4 linked regions of the Saccharomyces cerevisiae S288C genome follow. The protein of the gene in region 3 purifies or fractionates together with the protein of the main gene of each other region. This does not show direct contact. Each region holds a gene or a part of one and is shown on either strand. Other genes may lie near its edges. The genes, in order: SNU56, SNP1, PRP39 and SNU71.

Region 1 (4,019 bases), on a different chromosome or scaffold from region 3:
TATTGTTGCTTATTGACGTTGTTATTGACTTCATGTCCATAGGCGGTGGTGGAGGCCTCGAACGTTTTATCTTGGAGAAATGTGCATTTGAATTTGCGCTTGTTGTGAAGGGGTTGGTTCTCTGCCCAATGATGTTGTTTTCTTGTAAATATTCAATTCCTTTGTGATCGTTTCCTGACGCTTCCTTGGACTGTGTTAATTCAAGAGAATCTCCTAAGGTATCCTCAGCATTCAAAAATGGATTAGTATTCTTTAATGTTTCCTTTTGTAATGGTGCCTGGATAGAATGGCTCCTGCTATGAGCATTCCTATTTGGACTTCTTGGCGGTATATCAGGGGCAGAAGTTTCAGCCGTCGAAGTTCGTGCGATATTTGTTGATTTCTTTATTGTAGAGGGCACCGATGGCTTTCTAACGGATTTTTCAGAGTCATTGTTTTTACTTTCAGAACCAAACCGAAAAAAAGACCTTCGTTTACCTTTATTGTTGCTAAAGCCATCAAACATCACTGTATTATTAGACTTTACCTGTAGACTCCTTCAAAACCTGTAATTCGCTTTGCAGAACATGCTATTTCAACATTTTCCCTCTTAAACTTTTGCCAAATAATAATAGTGCGCTCTTTGAATCCGCGATGACATTTGAAAGAAAACATTAAATTAAACTATCGCTTTGCATACGGAGCAAATGCCATGAAAGAGAAAAAATAACCAAAAGGTTTTTTAAATATATCTATACACCTCCACTGTTATATGCGACTCAATGTTCTAATATATTCAATATCAGCTCTAATGCTTTGACTATATATTCACCGACTCCACCAATACTAATAACGCGGATGGTACTTGGGTGAGGCGCCTGAGCAAAAATAGTGTAATTTGTTGTATTTAAAGATTCAAGCCACATTTGTGACTCGTGAAGATTATTCAGATTCAATACGACGATATTACAATTTGTCTTTGATCGTAGATCATTTAGATTTTGATAAACAATATCAATATAATTTTGTCTTGGACACCTAACGTATGTCTTTAGAATCTGATACGAAGACTTCTTTTTCACTGCATCCATAGAAGCTTTTATGGTACCAATGCAATGTTGTTTGATTTCATCCTGCGTCATAAAACCCGGTTTATTACCTTCACTATACCTTCCGTCCTCAAAAGTTTTTGGCCCGGAATGACGATTGGAAGAATTCAATACATTTGATGGCTTATTAACAGCGTGTCTCTGTGGTTGTGTTTGATATGAAGTTGCACCTGCTTCAATAGTTTGAGAAGAGGAAATTGAATTTGAAGAGGGCGAATTCGATAAAGGTCTTTGTTGTCGTGGAAATTGATCTCCTTGAAGGCCACTTATTTCGTTATATGCCTTCATTTCAGAAATATGTTTAATCATTTGAGCTTTTGATGTTTCTATAATTGGCCTGGTTTTACTAATGTACGACTTTATATCAAACAAGCCATCGCCAATTAATGGAAGTTCGTAGAGGGCAAGTGATATCTGTGAATAAGTGCGGTTATATTCACGCTTAAAGTAGTTTATCACGTTAGCTTCACACTTGCCAAATTCTACTTGTGAAAAAAAATTAGAAAGCTCATTCATGAACTTACTTACATGACAAGCCTTAACTTGAAACTGTTGAAAATCTGGAACAACATTGAAACCAACTTCTACAATACTGGATGAGGGCTGCTCTCTTCTATAGCTTGTTATTATATGGCCTCTACCAGTTTCTATATTCTTGGGCAAATAAAACGAACCTGTCAAGTTAATATTCTTAGGAACTCTAAAGTATGATTTTTCGGATGGTGCCATCCATAATCGCTTCTGGAAAGCAAGCAGAACTGATAATACGAAGCAAGAGTCCAATATATTGAAGTCCTTCAAAACTATGTAGAAAAGCATGCCTTCATCTTTCTGCTCTTTCTGTGGATAACATCGTAATATATCCTTCGATATATACTTATGCAATTCATCCATGCACTCGTCGAACTGTTGTTTATCTTCCGTTCTCATGGGGAGTATGAGCAGACTACCTTTTATGAATTGCCCTGCATTCTTCTTAGTCGACCTTATCCTATCTAGGTTTTTCCATATATCAAAAGATTGGAATGCTTCAGAATTACCGACCTTCCTTCTTTGGCCATCATTGGATGTCGTAGGATAATGTCCTTGTGAAAGTTGTCCCTTCGGCTTGGTATGATGATACGCTAATCCTCTCCTTCTTGGGCGCATGATACTAATATTTTTTGCTTATATTAGTCGAAGGGAAACTGTTTCTCAACGTCAAACTTCTACTATAGTATATAATATAACTTTAATGTTTTCTACACTGCGATGCGCGCTGAAAATTCTAGCTCAAATAAAAAAAAGGTTACAACAAACCAGTAGCAATCATGAGAATAAGAAATATGAAGAAGTAATTAAAGATCATGTTGGAGTAAAAATCCAAAATATCATCTGTTTATTAGCATTCGTGTTAGTAGTATATTATCAAATGCGGTGTAAGAAGATGACATAAAGATTGAAAGACAGTCATCAAATGGAAGAGGAAATGCAACAACTCATGATGTAATAGGATAATGTCACATAAAAAATGGAAGATGAGATTATAATATTATTACGTAAGAATACCGATCCTCTTTTGCGGGTTCTTATATCTCGGGGAGAGCTTCTAGTACATTATTCATTCATAATATTATACCTTTACCAAGGATTGAATCCCAACAATCATCAAATTATTCACCCCTTTCTCAGGTCACTGGTTTGAAGCAAGTAAACTACATCTTCTTATACCGTATGCGATAATATACTAATAATATAAATACTACTAAATAGATGATGCTAGAATTCCATTAGAACTATAGTATACCATTTAAGTATTTATATTGCTATTGTAATATCTTATGAAAAGTTAATGTTCATCTGTCCCAACAATCTCTAACAAGTACAAAGATGACACGAGTTATGAGGCGCTGTCATAGGAACCTCCAAACAAGTTTGATATTAATTATAAGAAACATATTTCAAGCCCTCGTGTTGTATTACGGGCTCGAGTAATACCGGAGTGTTTTGACAATCCTAATATAAACAGTCTTAGGGAAGTAACCAGTTGTCAAAACAGTTTATCAGATTAATTCACGGAATGTTACTTATCTTATATATTATATAAAATATGAATCATACTAAGTGGTGGAAGCGCGGAATCTCGGATCTAAACTAATTGTTCAGGCATTTATACTTTTGGGTAGTTCAGCTAGGGAAGGACGGGTTTTGTCTCATGTTGTTCGTTTTGTTATAAGGTTGTTTCATATGTGTTTTATGAACGTTTAGGATGACGTATTGTCATACTGACGTATCTCATTTTGAGATACAACACCTCGCAAGAAATCGACTCTCGGTAGCCAAGTTGGTTTAAGGCGCAAGACTGTAATTTATCACTACGAAATCTTGAGATCGGGCGTTCGACTCGCCCCCGGGAGATTTTTTTATGTCAAGCACCTACTTTTAGCCGGCTTTCTGGAGATAAGTTCCCAGTAGTCGTTGTATTTGATTCTCTATTGGATAGTCAATGACACATTCGTGACCGAACAATGAGATATTATTGAGTACCGGGAGTATTATGTGTCATAATTTGTAGTATTATCTGTGTGACGGATTAAGTTTGCTATCTCAAATGCCGCGCGCGCGAATTGCTCATGATATAATAATAGCTAATAATATGATAATATGATAATAATAGATAAGATTACTGATAACATTATTTTAGTATTCAAAAGCGTATTACATATATATAGTCGAGTAAATACTTTTTTTTCAATGGGGAGTGGAAGGGACAGCCGCTCTGACCTGTTATTAACGACAGACAACACGGTACCAAAGTTATACAATGACTGTGCACTCAACGTGGAAGGAAAAAGTTCAATTAAAAAAAGATCAACTGAACAGTAAGATAAAAGACGAATGGAAATTAAACAGCACAACTATAACGAGGTTGAAGAACGATAAAAAAAATTT
Region 2 (3,468 bases), on a different chromosome or scaffold from region 3:
TATATATGTATATTTCTTTATACTAAGTTTTACTGGGCAGAGTATCATACAGTTCTTCTATCCGATATATAATGAACGATAGGTGTGACACCACTGACTTGAGTAATTCTTTCCAGCCACGCAAGCAAGACACCCCCTTGTTTCTGGCCCTGAGGTACGGACATTCCTTTGTAGAGATACTTTACCAGCACGTCCCTCTGAGAATCACTCAAATTTTTGATTACATTACCAATATCGGCTTGCCTGACTTGTGTCAATGCTTCAAGGACGCTCTTAAAATATTGCTCCTTTGTTGGAGCATCTGCACTGTATGGAGGATCGGTTGTGAGTAATTGAACGGCTCCCAAAGAGTCACCACTTGTGGCAAGCGAGCGCAATTGATTCATTCGAGGTTGTAATTCTTGTAATGTGACAGTAGTTTCGTATGGTGGTACCAGATCGGCAGCGGTTAGTCTGCCACTCTCTGGATCAAATGCATCGATGTCAATTCTCCTCCAATCGGCTTCCATTGCTTGATCGTTCGCGTGTGTTGTGTTGAGTCTTCTCTGGTCTCCTTTGCTATAGTATCTTGTGTTAAATGCGGGCTGTTTTTCTCTTATTTTGTTATAGGGGCAAAGTCTGAGAAAGGGAAAAAAGTATCCAAATTAACTGATGTGCGGGTAATCATAGACAACAAGTAGCAGAGTTTAAGTATTACTTATATTCAATAGTCGGGCGCTTCTTTGGGAGCTGGTTGAGACTCTCGAGTCCGTGAGTTTCTAGATTTATATACAGAAGTAACAGCAGCAGTAGGAGTGGCGGCGGAGAGCAATGGCCTGTTTCCACGGTACCTCGCGTCCAATGTGGAACTGCCGTATCTATCAGCGCTATATGCGGAGGAAGAAGTTTCCCTGCGTGGCAGCCTGGGAGCATAATTTCTTTCGGCGGGATTTGATGTACTTGCGCTTGCAAACCTTCCTGGAAGCCTGCTGTCTCTGTTGGAATAGCCTCTGCCTCCTAGGCCGCCGCCCAATCTTCTTGGCTTGAAATATTTAACGGTTCTGCCTCTTTCTATGTCGACTATGCAGATTCTGTCTTTGATTTGGATACCTCTGTGTACTCCAATCTCCTTGAATGCCATTTTACTACTTATTGGGTCTTTGAAAACTATGAAGGCGTAGCCTTTACTCTTCTGGGTTATCTTGTCCTTGACTATCCTAATTTTTTCGATCTCGCCAAACTTAACAAAATACTTTTGCAGTTCAATTTCGTCAAGATCGTATGGTAGCCTCCCAATAAATATCGTTCTGTAGGGATCTGTGTCCTTGATATGAGGGTCAACGTTAGGATTCCAATTTTGTAGTCTCCGGTCTAACAATTGAGCATTTTTGATCTTGGAAAGTTTGATGTCTTCGTATCTTTGGAGATGGTTGTTTGGAGATCCTTCAGGAAACTCCTCCATATAGTGCTTCAAAGAGGTTGATAGTAAGTTTGCAACGCCAGTGATATTTGGATTTGTTTGTCTCTTCGCATATGGGTAATCGGTTGGTCTTTTGTAAGATAAAGGTGGCCTTGGCTTGAAAAGTCTCGACACGTCGTCTGGATACTTGGATAGATTATAATTCATCAAGGTTGAGGTGCCGATTACTTTTTTAAGGTTTCCTTTCGACAGTCGATGACCGTGCTGTGTGTCATTATCTTGCAGTTCTTTTTTTCTTCAGATGCGTTAATTTCCTACGAAGGGCGCATACAATGGTGCTGATGGGATTTATGAGCAAAACAAGTAGGCGAGCAAGACATGAACGAAATTGTAATGAAGCGTACTTCCTTTTCCCTACAACCTTAAAAAGGTCTCACTGATATATCCATTCGCAATAATGACAAGATTTTTGCATGGGACTTCTTTTTTTCTTTTGAATAAGTCGCGTTATAAGGACAAAACATTAAAAAAAAATATGTATTGATTCACTGATTTATATATACAGAAGTAAGTACCGGGGTACCTAAATATACGCATAAAAGTCTCTTTCTTTTTTTTTTTTTTTTTTTTAGCTTCCTACATTTCGTTAATAATATTATATAGATTATATTTATATTTAAGAAAAGTAATATCAGCATATTATGAATAGACAAAAAAGTCTAAGGTCAAGATTTATTAAATGTTAGATTATTAAGATTACAATTAACAACATTTGTTGTTACTTCATAAAATTTCGTTACTTCATAAAAGAACTACAGTCCCCCACTTCTAAATGAGTGGTTGTAGGGGTTCATATACCTCCCATACTGTTGGAATAAAAATCAACTATCATCTACTAACTAGTATTTACGTTACTAGTATATTATCATATACGGTGTTAGAAGATGACGCAAATGATGAGAAATAGTCATCTAAATTAGTGGAAGCTGAAACGCAAGGATTGATAATGTAATAGGATCAATGAATATTAACATATAAAATGATGATAATAATATTTATAGAATTGTGTAGAATTGCAGATTCCCTTTTATGGATTCCTAAATCCTCGAGGAGAACTTCTAGTACATTCTACATACCTAATATTATTGCCTTATTAAAAATGGAATCCCAACAATTATCTCAAAATTCACCAACTCTTCACATACATACCTGCGGTAGCAAGATAGGTACACTTTTTCTACGTTTCACGAAGGTAGCGATAGGTACCTCACTCATTGTAGGTGCGGGGGTAGCGATGGAGGTTTCTGTACCATTACCACCACAGCCACTATACTCACGTAGTGAAGTCCCTAGCGTGGAATTGTGTGGTATCGTTGCTATCTGTCGTTCGCCACCCTCGGTATATCCAACGTGCAGGCCAATATCACTCTCTAAGAAAATCGTATCAGGATTGGTACGGACAAACTCTTCATAGCCTACGTCGAAATCAAATTCTGCTAAAGCTGTGACTGTAGTTAAACCTAAAACCGCGATTATTGCTTGAAAAACTGTGGAGAAATTCATGATGGACGGTCACGTTCAGGGTCTGAGAAAACCACTCATTCCTATGTCCCATGTGGTTGGTTGCAATTTGCTGCTATATATACGACTTGGCTGTAGAGAGATCTACGTAGGATGTGTCCACTATCAAGGGGGGTTTACCAACGTTATCTTCTATTTTAAGTGCTCAAATGAAGGTTGCATTATATCCCTGGCAGTTTTCCCGGCAATTTTGCCGGCCGCTTATAATAGTCATGGTGAAAGGATTGTTGCTTGTTGTGGTTGCAACATGACAGTTGCCTACTAACTAAATAATAATCAAAGTCAGTTTCTCAACAATGGAAAACCTGTTGTGACCTTATCGAAGTAACAACATCGTATAATAATTAATCTGGAAAAAATACCATAGTTACTGCCGATACAGGTCTACGTGACTTACTGACAAACAGACTGAGTGACTACGAGTCCAGAAATTTAGTATACCATATTGTCGCTTCTTCTTATAGCCCAGCTCCAGGTCTGGATACGGT
Region 3 (4,668 bases):
CATTTAAGAAGTTGTTATATATGGTTAGTTAACTCTATGTTCCAACAAATACCAATAAAGATCGCGCAAGTGGTTTAGTGGTAAAATCCAACGTTGCCATCGTTGGGCCCCCGGTTCGATTCCGGGCTTGCGCATATTTTTTTTTAATTCACCAAAAATATTTAATGTTTAGAAGTTGTTTTACATATTTGGACGTTTTCAAAATATCCTGACGATAGAAACAATCATTAATAGTCTTTACATATAAACAATATTTATCAAATTTTTCTGATTATATAACCATCAAAAAACACAGAAAAGGCCTGTCATTTCGATTTACGTAAACTAAATTAATAATAAATTTATTTCATCTACCTGTTTTACTCTTCATATTATTTGATTTCTGCGATTTAATAGAATCTTACCAACCTCTAATGTTTTTTGAATATATTTTAATTTAACAGGTTCAATAGTTACTTTTTTATTATAAATAATAACTTAAAATATTACATAAACTATTATTTATATTATCATACAATAATTTATTATATAATTATTTATTAACTCTACCAATATAGAATAAAACATTTTCAATAATAAATTATAAACAAGTAAATATTTGGGTACTCCTTCGGGGTCCGGCCGAGTAAATTATTATTTTAAATATAATTTATGATTTATGATTAATTTCATTTACCTTCCTTAAGAAATTCTTCAGTGTATAGATCATTAATCTTGACCTGATTAATTTTCTCCAAGTTTCTAAAATTAGGCAAACTGATGGGCTTTTGAATCAAAGTTCCTGAATTGCACTCAATTATACTGTTGGATATCTGCGGTCTTTCTGTCGTTATGCCGATGTGACCAGCCTCCTTCCATTCCGTCTTTTTATGCCAATCTACATTTGCTGTAGTATTTAATACTGGATCGTATTTTGGATTCGACATTTTCAGCTCAGGGTACAAGATAGGGTCAAATGTATTTGAATCTATAATGGAGGATTCATACGTGACGATATTTGAATGAGTTAAATAGAAAGTCTTATAATCCGTCAAAATATCATTCATTACTGTAGTCGGCAAGTATATTTCTACCCCAAGCTCCCTAATGAATTTATTCAGCTTGGTAAAATTTACATTACTCTTTTCAAATTTGTAGTAAGTTAACCAGAACGGTACAGAATTTTTAATGAGGATGTTTTTTTGATAAAGGTTGAAATATTTCCTTGTTTGCATATTATTTTTAAGTACAAGCCATGTAGTTTTTATCAATTCTACCACGACTATGCTTAAGTTTTTATCATTTATTAAGGTCTGTAAATGCACCTTGGCATCAATTTGATTATTGATGTAGTTGGTGATTGATGTCTCTAGGATTTTAGTAAACGATGTTTGTTTCTCTAGAATTTCCTTTGGCGATTGATCTAAGGAATTCTTAAAAGAATGTCTTTTCAACATACAAAGGTACTCCGTCATAAGTAATATGTCGTTGGGCCAAATCTTTAAATAACGCGATACTGTCTCATTGAATATGTTATTGAATAAGGTATTATTTGACCGATATTTTCTTTTCAAAAACCTAAGAAAATCATACCTCAAAGTTTTGAAATCCAGTGGTAAGAACGTATTGGCTTTTTGGTATATATCCACTACCACTTCATCGGATATATTTTTCTTTGTTAGCCACTTAATATACATCATCCACGTATTTTCATGGTAAAGACAAGGAATCAAACATCTGTCAAAAACGGACATTACGAATTCTTTATCCAAGGATTTTGAAGGATCCGTCACAAATTTTAAATATCGCGACCAATTTTCCAAATCATCATTTAACACTTGGCCCAGGTTGAAGAAGGGCTGTTTGATTTTCGATTCGAACTGCCAAATTTCATTTACTGTTGTTTGTGTTTTTCGTAAAACTATATCAATATTCCTTGTTGTCTTCAAATTTTTTTCATTTAAAAACTTCTTGTAAGATGTGAAAAACCGCGCATACTGATGTAGAGGAACTTCAATAATGTACTCGTATATTCTTTGAACGTTATGCCAATTCTTCTGCCCAACTTCAAATTCTATAAACTTGTCCCAAAAAGGGTGTGATAGAAACTGCTTGCCAATAAGATCCTTTGCAATTTCAAAATTATTCCTAATAAAATCCGTTTCGTTCGGGTTATTAACACACAACACATTCAAATAATCACACCATAACTCCAGAGAAGTTGGGAACCATTTGACCGAGGTGGCCAGAACAGCAATCGATTTCTTGAGACCAAATAACTGGTACTCAATAGTAGCAAACCTCTTCCAAAATCCAAACAATAAAGGGTACTTACGCAATATTTGCCATAAAATAGTTTCCAAGGCCAATTTGATTGAATCATTTGGATTGCCATATTTAACCACTGTTTGCTCTATAACATCTACCATTTGGGTCAACGAAGAAATATCTGACCAGTCTAAACCACGATATGCTTGTACTAATGCTGTGTTGTCTTGAAGGAACTGGGTGTCCAAACCTCGAAGGGCATCAGGCCTAGGCTCAATATCTTCTATTGTAAAATTTGTTTCATCTGGCATAACGAAAGACGGATTGCCAAGTATCCAATAGCAGTAAGGGCCAAAACTTTTTGTTGAACAAAGAAATGGCTGTGGAAGGCGCGTTTTTACTTTAGGACTTTGAAAACTTTCTTGCGTAAATTCTGTTTAAGTCTGAAACTTTCAACTCTGTATTAAATTTGTTTTAAGATGTGCGACGGCGACGTAAAATGGTAAAGAAAAAGAAAATGAATGATAGTAAATCATACTGAAAACGAATGATCTGAAACAATAAAAAAAGATATTTGTATATAAATTATTCAGCCATGCTCAAACCTCCAGATTAAAAATCAATAATGGATTAATTGAAAGCCCTGGAGCTGGCATTTTTTACCACATTGTCTAAGAGGGAAAGGAAAATGACAACAAAGCGCTAAATAATGGAATCAAGTTTACAAAAATTGAAATTCCAGGATATTGACATAAATCTTATTCCTACTGCGAAGTGGACCACAAAATTACAGTATATTCTATACACCTGGTGTCAGTCGATACTACATGTGGCCATGTTTTTTTCTGATATATACACGTGTATTAAATTACTGGCATTTAACACATGGTCGAACAATATCATCCAACCATTCTTGGAATTCCGTATTTCAAAATGGTTGTTTAGCGGATGCATATTATGCTCCTCATTAATATTAATTTGGGAGTTGGTAATTGGATTGAGAGTGTATAGGAAGAAAGAGATTACATCGAACTACATGAATGGCATTAGCAGATTAATAAATTGCTTGTTCAATTTCAAAAAGTATCAAATTTTCGAACTAATAGTGCTGACTGATGAGAAAAAATTCAGTAAGTGGTTATTCTTTTCATATTTTGAAATCAGTGGATGTTTGAGGCTATTGTTCGGTGACTCTCCAAGGCAAATAATCAACGGATTAACTTTGTGGTCAGTTTTACTGACAGTTTCGAATGAGACCAGTAGCGGAACCCATAGTACTCAAAGCCTAGGTAATTTAGATGACCTAAATGGAATAATAAACAAGATAAAACATATTGCTAAGACAAATTACGAAGAAAGTGTGATCTTGTCCTTCATGTTGTTCTCGTTTATCATATGGGTAATTTTAATAAGCAAATTAATTCTAAGCATAATAATATTCATCATTTTTATACGTCCGAGATTTTTGTCTAGTAAAAGGAAGGTTAAGGGGTATGAATTGAAACTACGAAAGTATGTGTCTAAAGTCATTGACGAGAATTTAAGTAGAACTGTCTACGAATTGGGAATATTGATAGATGATGAGGAAGAAGGGACCATATGTGGTGACAACAAAACGCAAAAAAAATTCGATTATGATAGTCCTGATTATGGCGACGAAAGCACAATACCGAGTTACTACTGCTACTCGGATGTAGAAACGTACGAAAGAGTATATACGCCCATAAAGGCATATTTCCCCCAGAAATACAAACATAAATACATATAAATGTAAACGAAGCTTTTTTTGACTGCAAAAATGCATTAAAAGTAAATCGATTCTCATTTATTGTATATATATTGTATATATTGTATGAAATATTTATAATGATAATGATAGTAACAAAAACCATTGATGGCTATAAACAATGAAACAAAAAAAAGCACTACGAAAACAGTAGATTCGTGAGGAATTGAAAAAAAGAGTGAAAAAACTAATAAAAACAACGAGAGTAAATAGGATAGTACAAAAATACTAGGAGTAAAAAAAGGCCCTCTAGTAGTAGTAATAGTAATAGTAATAGTAGTAGTACTAGTAGTAGTAGTAGTAGTTAAAGGCTATGGTTGAATAAAAAAAAAGTCTGGATGGTAGTGTTTTGGTTTTACAATTAATTAGATTTTTTCAAATCATTCTTTTTTATACCAAAAGTAGCATCATTGTTTGATGCTTTCTCTTTCTCATCAGCAATTTCTCTTCTGAGCTTAACTAGCGAGGCCAGTTTTTCATCTGGTTCATAAATACCAAACCTTCTAAACCTCCTAATTTCAGCATTCATCTTACCAATATCCCCGTCATACTCTTCCAAGATCTTCTTTAGATTGTTTTCCAGCTCCACAAAGTATTCTTCACTTAAAATGAATTTCCGTTCGGTTTTAATAGCC
Region 4 (4,722 bases), on a different chromosome or scaffold from region 3:
TAGATGGCAGTTGATTAGTAGACGCGCTCCAAGAGTTTTGATTAACGGCATAGTCGGATTCTTGACTGGCATATGACACAGAAGTCTGGGAAGTGGAGCTCGCATCATACCAAGTAGATGGGAGGGAAGAGATTGTGGCACTCACTATTGTTGCAGACTGGTGCGAATGAACACCTTGAGAATAGGCTGTTACCAAAGAGGTGGTGGAACTATCCTGAGAAGCTTCATTGGTGAAAGAAACTTGACCTTGACTCTCGCTTTGGCTCTGAGCTTGTTGCGTTCCATTGCCGAATATAAAGTCGAAGGGGCTGGCCCGGGCCAATGACCCACTAATTACAAGGGTCGATAGGAGACAAGCGAATGGAAACTGCATAGATGGGTATAATTAGGAAGCCTAATGAAAAGTCAATAAAAATAGGAAACGAGGTGGAAGCCAGCTAGAGATGAACAGAATACACAATAAGTCGTTAAAGGAATGAATAATATTTTCACAAATATTTTGGTCGGTTGGAACGAGCCGAAGTCAGATGCTTTTAGTTCTTCTAAGAGAGAGCTTATTACTTCTGGAAAAAAAGAAAAAAATGGTAAAAAACAGGTAAGATTATTTTAGCAATATTATGGGGTCCCTTGGTGAGGTCGAATAGTTTTGGTAATCTATTATAAATGTAAAAATGCAGGAAATAAAGAACTTGGTACTATGGAAATGTATAAAAGTTATATATATCAGCACGAAGATGAGATAGTAAAAAAACACCCACTGGTGCTATTTTGATCTGGCAACGCCCGACGTGTCTAGCCACTTGCTGCAAAACGCCCCGAAACGGTAATTTGTTTTCGTGTCTTCGCCTGTTTCAGAGCGAGCCTTTCCCTTTTGGGACGCGCGCCAAGGCCCTTCTGTTTCAGGTCCCCAAGCGAAATTCTTTACGACTCCACAGTCTATCAGCTATCGTTTCCCCGTCCTCGTCGAAAGTCTCCCTTAGCTCATTTAAAAGGGCCTGTTTGCTCTGGTTCACGCGGATGTTCTCAAGAATGTATTCCACCAGCTCGTCCTCGTAGACGCCGAGGAATTCACGCACCAGTTCGTCCACGTAGCGCGATTCCTTCAGATTAGTTAGTCTTATGTTCAGTTCATCTGCTGTAAATGGCAAACGGTCCTCTGCCGCGCTTCTCTCGGAGGGTTTTGTTGGAGGTAGCTCGCTCTCTCTGTATCCCTCGTCTTCGCTAGAGCTTTCAACTGAGTGATCAATAGCCTTCTTAAAGTCGAATTTGATCTTGACGTGTTCTGAGCTCTCAGACACATTCTTGTCCGCGTTATAGTTCTCGCTCTTCACAGTGCCTTCAGGAAGGGTGATGGCGGCAGCCTTCCCTGCAGATATGGCCTTACCATCCGATAGTTGTATAGGCGCCAGTTCCTTTGCATTTCCATTTTTAGCTCTATCCTCTTCGTCCCTTCTTTCCTCTTGCTCCTTGAAAGATCTATGGTGGTCGTAATGAACGTCGTTGGCAAGGTGTAATAGCTCCTTCAAATATAATGAGCGATTTTTCTCCAAATGTTCCTCATAGTTTTCAGCACTCATGATATCAGCCCTAATGGATTTTATCTTAGGCTCTGTATTGGAATGTAATTGGTGTAACATATCCTCATATCTACGATTTGATTCTTCCAGGTCTCTTTCTTCTTTTCTCTTCTCTAAGGCAAGGTCGTCTTCAGTGTCATCCTCCTCATCTTCATCTTCCATATTAGTATCCTCCTCCTCTGTATTGGCGCTCCCTTTGGCTCCTGAGTGGTTTTTCCTTATTTGATCAAAAACTTTTTGCATTTGGTGTCTTTGACGCCTACTTTCCTCGTACGTACTTTTCATTTTTTTTTCTTTCTCTATACTGACAACTTTTGTCCTAAATTCTATTATATCCTTGCACAATTGGTCCAAAGCATCCGATGGCAAATCACTTAAAGTGTTTGTATCCACTTTGTATTGTGTGGAAGAGTCATCCAACTGTTCTTTCTTTGAATTTCTTTCGTCTGTTTGATCTTCAATGTTTTTGAAAACAGAATAAAATTCGCTAGCCTTTTCTGGCTTAACACTCGGTATAGTTCCTGTTCGGTCTTCGACATATTCTTTTGTGTTCAAATCCAAGTGTAACTCAATCTTGAAATCCTCATGTAGCTTTCTAATAAACGCGAATAAGGCTTTGCAGTAGTTCAGCGTATTAACAAATGCCTCATCTTCATCAACCTTACTGAATCTTATAAAAATGTCCTGGGTATCTAAAAACGAAGAAAAAGAAGACCAAGCTTCTACTTTCAATGCGGAATTGCTTTGAGTTTCAGTCAACGCTAAATTCAAACAGTGGTCTAGCAATGATTCTATCTGTCCGCGAGAAAATGATGAAGAGACACCTTGTAAAGATACTGTATGAATCTGTTGGTCTAAGGAAATGGGAAGAAATTGTTTGAGCTCTTGGTAACGGGAAGAGCTTGTGGCGCACTTGTTAGCACTATTGTTATCTGCTATTGAAGCCTCTTTGTCTTTATTCAAACCAGTATTCTGGTCAGAATTGTGTATACTCCCATCATCGTTGCTATTTAGCAGTGTCTCTGATAAGCTGTTTCTGGCGTCAACTATATGTTTTAATGAGTCCTGAAAACGTTGTAGATCATTTTTGAGGATAGGGATGAACCCACTTTTGGCAGAATCACTTTTCCAACCCTCCTGTGATGACAAATACAGCTGCGGTGATACAAATACAATATCCCTCATGTTCTGTAAATCGACGTACTCTTAAGGAACTTTTATGAGCTTGATTTTGGTCCTGGTCTGTTTTTGTTCTTGATCTATCTAATTACTTTTGCACTTTTTAGCGGGCATCATTACCACGGAAAGTAGCAAAAAATGTAGCAGCGAAAACTGCTTTTTTATATTTGTTCCTACAATTTAATAGAAGATAACTCAGTACTGATTTATACATCTATGTTAGATATTTATTACTTCTTCTAATGACACGTCGTGATCGATTTCTTTAGCTTCTTTCCAGAATTTACTTAGGTGTCTTGAACCGCTGTCGCATGCAATAATCACAATGTTTGAGCCGTGAGGAAGCGTTTTTGCAACCTGAATAGCGGCTACCGCATTAATAGCTGTACTACTCCCCACGAATAGCCCGTCGTTTACCGATAGGTATTTTGCCATTCTAATGGCTTGATTATCGTTGACTCGTATTGATTCATCAATAAACTTTTCGCCCATATGAAAATTATGAGTGATTCTGTTTAACCCAATCCCTTCTACGATAGTGTCAACTTGATGCCTTCTTCTAGTACCTTCCTTCTCTACATAGTCATACATCACGCCATAGTTGACTCTATTATAAAAGCCAGATCCTTGTGGATCCGCTAGAACGACATGGCAAGGTATCTTTGCTCTTTCCTTTAAGAATTTTGCCACACCAGTTATGGTGCCACCAGTACCGCAGCCAGCAATGAATGCGTCAATATTTCCCTTAGTTTGATGGGCAATTTCTGGGCCTGTGGTCTGGTAATGTACTTTCCAGTTGGCTTCGTTTTCGAACTGATCGGCAAAAACTGCTCTTATTCCATTACCACTCTTCTTTAGTTCATTACATGCCTTTTTGGCGGCATTTACGTATTGGTTTGGATCGACAATACTAGCGGGCTTAACCTTATTAACAGTAGCACCGAGGCTTTCTAGTAATGCCAATTTTTCTAGCGATGTGTCATCGGGCAAAGAAATGTGTGCCCTATAACCCAACGCATTACAGACCACTGCTATAGAGATACCAGTCGACCCACTTGTTCCTTCAAATACCCAGCCAGGTTCACCTCTGACGAGCTCGCCTAATTCCTCAGCCGTCTTTATGATGTTTAAAGCCACTCTATCCTTAGCACTTCCTGCTGGGTTGCATAACTCCAACTTAGCGTAAATGTTAACTCCAGTAGCCTTGGTAAGAGATCTGATCTTAACCAGAGGAGTGTTTCCTATGAGTTCTTCAACGCCTTCTTTTGGACGTGGAATATCGCGTGTTTTGAACAGCTTATAGTATTTGTATGATGCATACGCGCCAATTAGGACGGAAGCGATGGATATGCATTCACGCCAGGCCAGACTGACAGAAGTCTTATTTTGAGAACAGGACATAAAGGATGTTTTGGTATATTCCGATTGATAGGGCTATTATGCAGTATTATACGGCATTGTTACTTCAAATATTACAAGACTTTTAAGTTACTATAGACGTGCAAAATTCAATATAGATCATTACCCGCATTAATAGTAACGCGAGTAGATCAAGTATCTTCGGATTCTGTATTTTATAAGCTAATTTTGCTGATTTACGTATACGATTCACTGGAATGTTTGTCTGAAAGGTTTTCCTTATGAAACTTACCGCTGGTGTGGTTATATTATAATTATTAAGTGTTAAAATAAATGTTTGACATTGTTCACATGATTGTTGCTCTGCTGTAAACATTTTAAATCGTGCATCCAGGAACTTTTTTTCTATGCACCTTGAAGAGGAAAGTGGTAAATTTGAACTGCTGCAGTATCAGAGTTGTAATAAACTCACTCTTTGCTATCCAAGACCTGCTTGACCGGTTCACTTTGATTAATGTATAGATTATACTCTTGGATGTAACGGATGACAGAGTTTGGAAGAAGATATTGAACTGACATTCCACGTCTGATGAAAAGCCGCACTTTC

Evidence for each region.
Region 1: the proteins of PRP39 (region 3) and SNU56 purify together in Saccharomyces cerevisiae (affinity purification with mass spectrometry; 5 studies listed by BioGRID). This does not show direct contact.
Region 2: the proteins of PRP39 (region 3) and SNP1 purify together in Saccharomyces cerevisiae (affinity purification with mass spectrometry; 6 studies listed by BioGRID, with this or other methods). This does not show direct contact.
Region 4: the proteins of PRP39 (region 3) and SNU71 purify together in Saccharomyces cerevisiae (affinity purification with mass spectrometry; 5 studies listed by BioGRID). This does not show direct contact.

Annotation. Positions count from the first base shown.
Region 1 is NC_001136.10:942,916-946,934, forward strand, and holds SNU56 (Snu56p), read right to left. Parts: upstream 2,238-4,019; coding exon 759-2,237; downstream 1-758. Other genes in the region: YDR239C (uncharacterized protein), read right to left, coding at 1-505; AMD2 (putative amidase), read left to right, coding at 3,892-4,019. UniProt on the Saccharomyces cerevisiae protein: Component of the U1 snRNP particle, which recognizes and binds the 5'-splice site of pre-mRNA. Together with other non-snRNP factors, U1 snRNP forms the spliceosomal commitment complex, that targets pre-mRNA to the splicing pathway.
Region 2 is NC_001141.2:243,954-247,421, forward strand, and holds SNP1 (U1 snRNP complex subunit SNP1), read right to left. Parts: upstream 1,607-3,468; coding exon 704-1,606; downstream 1-703. Other genes in the region: ARC15 (Arc15p), read right to left, coding at 45-509; YIL060W (uncharacterized protein), read left to right, coding at 2,439-2,873; YIL059C (uncharacterized protein), read right to left, coding at 2,597-2,962. UniProt on the Saccharomyces cerevisiae protein: Involved in nuclear mRNA splicing.
Region 3 is NC_001145.3:179,364-184,031, reverse strand, and holds PRP39 (Prp39p), read right to left. Parts: upstream 2,559-4,668; coding exon 669-2,558; downstream 1-668. Other genes in the region: pheromone-regulated K(+) transporter PRM6, read left to right, coding at 2,957-4,015; GSF2 (Gsf2p), read right to left, coding at 4,395-4,668. UniProt on the Saccharomyces cerevisiae protein: Function prior to stable branch point recognition by the U1 snRNP particle to facilitate or stabilize the U1 snRNP/5'-splice site interaction. Has a direct role in the assembly or function of a catalytically active spliceosome.
Region 4 is NC_001139.9:512,594-517,315, reverse strand, and holds SNU71 (Snu71p), read right to left. Parts: upstream 2,763-4,722; coding exon 900-2,762; downstream 1-899. Other genes in the region: MSB2 (Msb2p), read right to left, coding at 1-373; MCY1 (putative cysteine synthase), read right to left, coding at 2,976-4,157; nicotinamide-nucleotide adenylyltransferase NMA2, read right to left, coding at 4,584-4,722. UniProt on the Saccharomyces cerevisiae protein: Component of the U1 snRNP particle, which recognizes and binds the 5'-splice site of pre-mRNA. Together with other non-snRNP factors, U1 snRNP forms the spliceosomal commitment complex, that targets pre-mRNA to the splicing pathway.